Kluyveromyces lactis: one gene and its partner. Each later gene encodes a partner of the first gene's protein in a complex. Links are inferred from orthologs where the notes say so. Each region holds a gene or a part of one and is shown in the gene's direction. Other genes may lie near its edges.

Region 1 (3,473 bases):
ATAAGTGGCCTTCTGGAATAGCTTATCCTGTTTAGCGTTGGTTAATCCATCAAGGAAAAGACTGCTACCCAGCAGCACAAAACCAATCAACGAAGAAGATGAAGAACTCTCAGAAACGTCATTCTCAGTCATAGAAGGTTTATGTCCATCCAAAGTGAATATTGTTATCCCAACCGTTACCAACAGTACCACTAATTTCTTACTTCTTGGAATTGGTGTACGGTACACAATCAAATGGACCATCAGCACCGGTAAAAGTTTGCATGACTTTGCCAACATATAAGTCAAGAAATCCACATAGCTTAACGAGTAAGCAGCTAACGGAGCAGAAATTGCCTGGGATAATGAAATAATCGCCATATCCCTTGTATGACTGGTCCAAAATTTCGATAGAGAAAGCACAGGTTTCTGCCATTTTATATAGATTAACCCACAAATCATAGCAATTGTTGCCTGTACCAATGCGACTATGTATGGTACTTGAAACGTACAGCCAGAGTTCGGCCATACTCTAGTGTTCAAAGGCTCTTGCAATAAACCCCATGTCAAAAACGAACAGTAGATTCCTCCTACCGCGAAAACATGTTTCAATATATGACGTCCCATTACCAACAATGTAACACCTTATAAGCTTGCCAGATACGTTTGTTGGGAACGAACTTGCTCTTTTTACCAGATATATCTCTTGTTTGACACCTTTTGTTATTTCAAGTAGAAATGATTCAAGATCGTTTCTATCACAGTGACAAATTTCAAACGGATATTGAACAGGGAAATCTGCCTCGAATTGTGTCTTAACACGGCTTATAAGATAAATAGTAAGCAGCAGTATCTGATATGGAAAGTCAGGTACCAATTGAGCAAGCGATGCATATACTGTTCTCTATTTTGTTCAGATCTGGCAACGATTTCCTCATCTTTCACCATAGTTAAGCTGGAAAAATTTTTTTATTTGAAATTCGTAATCGATCTAAAGCTACTTTGAATAATGTTGAACCATGACTATTTGAGGTCTCCACCAAGTTTAAAGGGTGTATTGGTTGACTTATTCCTTTCACAAGACTTCATCAATTGACTTTAAGCTATTAAGGAACAATGGTATACTCTCCTTTGGGTGTTACCTATGGGTTCAGATCCAATTTATTGTTAGAATCTTTTGCAGATTACCATAAATATCATAAAAAGGTTAACCATAAGTTACAACAATTGAGAGGCCGTTTAAAGTTGATTTCCAAGGATTCTAAGAACTATAAGGGCCAGGAGAAACTTGATAAGATTACGCATGAGGATTACAGTAAGAATCGGTTGTATGGATTCTTAATGCTTTTGTTAGCAGAAAGAGATGTGGCTTACGTAGAAAGTATCAAGGCCACAGGTAGAAGCAGGGGCCACTTGAGGAGTCTTGAATTGAAACTCATGCGTACCAGGATAAAGAAGGCCAATAGGTACTGTGACAGACTTATTTCATTGTCTCAAGGTGAGGACAAGTGGCAGATCCAAGCAGAAATAATGATATATGAAAAGTTAATCCGGACCGAATATGAGCTGTACGGTAAGAAACAGGTCAAATTCTCCGATGCAGAGAAGATTTCTACCCATCTAGCATTAGCACTAGCTGCGGTCAACTTTTTAGTTGATTCAAAGCTATTGAAGGAAGGCGTGGCCGATGCAGTGAAGAGCAAGTACCTGTACATTTTCAAAGAGAAGGCCAATGCCTTTTCTGTCAGAGATCAACAAACCTATATTTCAAGAGTCATACAGGCTAACCCGGAAGACCAACTTTTGCAATTGTTACAATCTCATGGGTTCTCTTTCTCGGTTCCCGAAACTGACGCTTCAAAGAGTCAATCCCGTGAGATTTCATGGAGATCATATTCCGCAACGATAGAAGACAGTAAAGTGTTTGAAGTGTACAGTGAATTGGCTGAATTGCACAACTCCAGCAAGCTTTCCAATTTGAACGATAAACTATTTAAGTGGAACAGAGCCATTGATTTACAAAAAGAATATATGACGACATGCTCTGAAGATGATACTGACGAAAACAATCAAATTCTCTTGACTTATCTACAATACAATGCCATGGTAACCGGTGTAGAAAGAGACAGCAGCTTGTTCGAGAGTCTTTTGAAGCAATGGGAAAGATTTGACAATAAGTCTTTTACGAGCAAGTTAAACAAGTACAAAGAAGTGGACCATATTATCAAGAACTTAAAGAGTTTGTTAAGTCAGATTATGGATCTACCGGGTGTTTACTCAGACAGCGACCTAACAAACCAAGTGTTCCTCTTGAAGACTTACTATGAAACTTGTTTCACTTCCAAACTGCTAGCAAACATATATCAATCGAAGAAGAAATACGTGGAATCACTCGCCCTATATGTCGACTGCTTACAAAGAATTGAAAACGCCGAAGAATCCCTGATAAACTGGGATGAAATCTATCTACCATCCCAGCTACTCTCGAAGGGGAAGATCACAGACTTGAAGAAATACATCACTACCGGATGGAGATCTGTTGTTGCCCTGGCAGAGCACAAGAAATCTATGGAAAAGAACAAGAAAACCCGTCAATTCGAACCATCTCTAGTCGAGATTTTGGAAAGCAAAGTGAGACCAAGTGACGTATCCTTGGATAACTTGTACCCACTCGCACCAAGACTTCTTCCAATTCCTCCAAAACCTTTCCTCTACGACTTGGCTTACAACTACTTCAACATACCAGATTCTACCTCTGTTACAGAAGAGTCGGTATCTTCAACTACTGCTGAGGCAAACCAAGACGATGAACCCGTCAAGGAATCGAAAGCACCATCCAAGAAAGGTTTATTCGGTCTTTTCAGAGGTTAATTATACCACAACTCCCATCCAAGACGATTATAGTCAACATAGTTAGTATTTTTGTAAAATATATACCGTCCCAACATCAAGATAAGATAGCTTGGAGATAATTACCGAAGGGAGCCTAGTTCATGACATCGGTTCAGAACTGGAGCAACAACAGTAACGCTGATGGAGGAGGAGGTAACCAAAAGTGAGTTTTATTCATGGTATCTTCCTTCATTTAATCGTGCTTATAATGAACTTTTCATGAGGAAAGACTTCAGAAATTGAAACTTTATCTATATAACATTCACCCTAAAAAGATGGAAGAAATACAGGTTACTCAGGCAATAGAGCCAGGCAATAAATCGTATATTAGAGCTTTATCAGTGGTGTTTAATTAAGGACAACATTTACTCTTATCCTAGGCAGTTTTAGGATGACACTCCGAAGTTGTATTGATGATCTATTTCACAAGCAGTACGTTTGTTGGGTGTGTTTAGATACGGAGTGTGAGAACGACGACTGGATCGTACACCAATGCGGTTGTAACTTACAGGTACACAGAAAATGTCTAATAGGATGGATATTCGATCTAAATAAGTCGAAGCTAGGGAGTTACTATACTTATGATACATACAAGATTAATT
Region 2 (1,968 bases), on another chromosome or scaffold:
GACAAAAAAGCACCTATAAACGATTGTATTGGCTACGCTTAACGGTTTAATGTTTCAATTCTTTTTTTTTACGAATTGTACTGTGGTGAAATCAGCGAGGGACACTGATTCTTTATGAAACCAAATCCAACCAAAAGGAAAATGCGTCAAAGGCTAGTAGGGAGAGAAAAAAAAAAAAAACAAAACAGACACCAATGTCTGATATCTTGCCATCGATTGACAATTGAGCTTCTACAATAACACTGGATACTCCCGGATCTCTCATCAAGGGTGAGAGAATGTACAGTTGATCGATTGAAGGTGTAACATTGCCAACAAAACTCTGTAGCAAATCACGCGATCAACTTACATATCCAATAGGATACCTCAAAAAACAGTCCGTAATCTCCTTGATGACAGAGAAGCTTACACACGCTTCTCTTTAGTGCAAAGTGACAATGACTACCCCCTTTCTGTTTCTCTGTAACTCATCGCATCTCATCTCATCTCGTCTCATCTCATATAGTATGGGGACCTGTTGTTTTTCTTTTTTTTTTTTGTTGGGAAAAACAAGATCGAGGATCGGAAATTTCTTTTTCTAAAAAAACTAACGAATTTCTTTTCGGGTTCAGGTGAATAGGCACAATTGATTTGGCAAATCTGGCGCAGATGTTAAATGTTATCCGGGTAATGAAGAACGTCACGTGGTTTGCCACATTTCATTCTTTTTGCACTTGTTTACCGGTATAGAAACAGAGTGGATATCAGAAACGTCGTAGAAATAAAGAGGAAACACATAGTGAAGGGACGATGGCCGGGTAGTGTAATTGCCAGTTGAAAAAATCGTACTTAGCTCCAGTCAAATGAGGGAAAGGCCTTAGATTCAACCTTCGACAGGCAGAATATGGTAAAGATGTCCAAAGAAAAAGGTTCAATATCATCACTTATCCAAGTCACCAGAATATACAGGTAACTTCCCATTATGTCAGACAAAGATGGAACCGCTAGTGGGCTTAAGGAAACGCCAGATTTCATAAAGAAACCTTTGTCTCATGACGAATTTTTTGTTAAGCTTGAAAAAGCTTTCAGAATGTCCAAGGTATCGCACAATCAGCTCAAAGTAAGCTTGAAAAGAGACTTGGGCAGTCATCACGTTCAAAAACCTAATGAATTGGATGTTACTTCCAATCCTACTGGTGATATCTCAAAGATGTCAGAATCCAAACGTTTAAAACAAAACGCTCAACCAGATACAAAACCATACAGACTTATCGTGCTAGTGAGCATGCCATATGATGGGAAACGAACGAAATTCTTCACTTTGGTAGATTCAAAGACTCTTGATAAATTTTGGAAGGATTATGTTAATGTTGTAAAAACAAGTATGTCTGGATTAATTAAAAAGAAGAAGAAGAAGAAGGGTGGTAAGAAAAACTGATGAAATATTCCCAACCTATTATCACCCATGAATCATAAATCCGCAATCGTGTAGCATTATAAAGTACATGTTATATATACATATATAGATGTCAAACTGCAAACCAGTAATTTGGTTTTCATTCGAACTCCACGACAATTGTTCCCGATGGATAAATTGTCCGTTCTTCCTTGATCACTGTGGTTGGCTCCAAACGGGTTCTGGGCACAGGTGAATATAGTTGAAAGTCATACTGATACTCGTAATTTGGTTTTTCTTGTGTAATATCATTCTCGCTGCTAGTGTCAGATAATAAACCTGCTCTGTATAATGCAACGTATGCGTAAATCTCCTCAATTGTTAATGAAGCATCAAATCTTCTAATAATTCTTTCATTTTCTAGTCTGATGCTTACTCTGCAACCGTCACCCGATGGTTCTGGCACTAGTACAGATTTTCTCCAAGCCAACCATTTCTTTTTAAGTTGGCTTTCCTCGATTACCCTATCCCTTTCCTGGTCCCTTTCTAGCGATTCTTGGTATCTCGAATCTTGTTGTTCTCTTAATAACCGT

What was found. The genes of interacting proteins can lie anywhere in the genome.
Region 2: SRP68 (region 1) and SRP14 share a complex: the UniProt entries of both Saccharomyces cerevisiae proteins name them as parts of the fungal signal recognition particle (SRP) complex. The link is inferred for Kluyveromyces lactis from reciprocal best matches to the Saccharomyces cerevisiae genes SRP68 and SRP14.

The regions. Positions count from the first base shown.
Region 1 is NC_006040.1:1,096,689-1,100,161, forward strand, and holds SRP68 (signal recognition particle subunit SRP68), read left to right. Parts: upstream 1-1,095; coding exon 1,096-2,850; downstream 2,851-3,473. Other genes in the region: UDP-galactose transporter HUT1, read right to left, coding at 1-606; KLLA0_D12892g (uncharacterized protein), read left to right, coding at 3,263-3,473. UniProt on the Saccharomyces cerevisiae protein: Component of the signal recognition particle (SRP) complex, a ribonucleoprotein complex that mediates the cotranslational targeting of secretory and membrane proteins to the endoplasmic reticulum (ER).
Region 2 is NC_006042.1:679,628-681,595, forward strand, and holds SRP14 (RNA-binding signal recognition particle subunit SRP14), read left to right. Parts: upstream 1-961; coding exon 962-1,417; downstream 1,418-1,968. Other genes in the region: clathrin-mediated endocytosis regulator UBX3, read right to left, coding at 1,536-1,968. UniProt on the Saccharomyces cerevisiae protein: Component of the signal recognition particle (SRP) complex, a ribonucleoprotein complex that mediates the cotranslational targeting of secretory and membrane proteins to the endoplasmic reticulum (ER).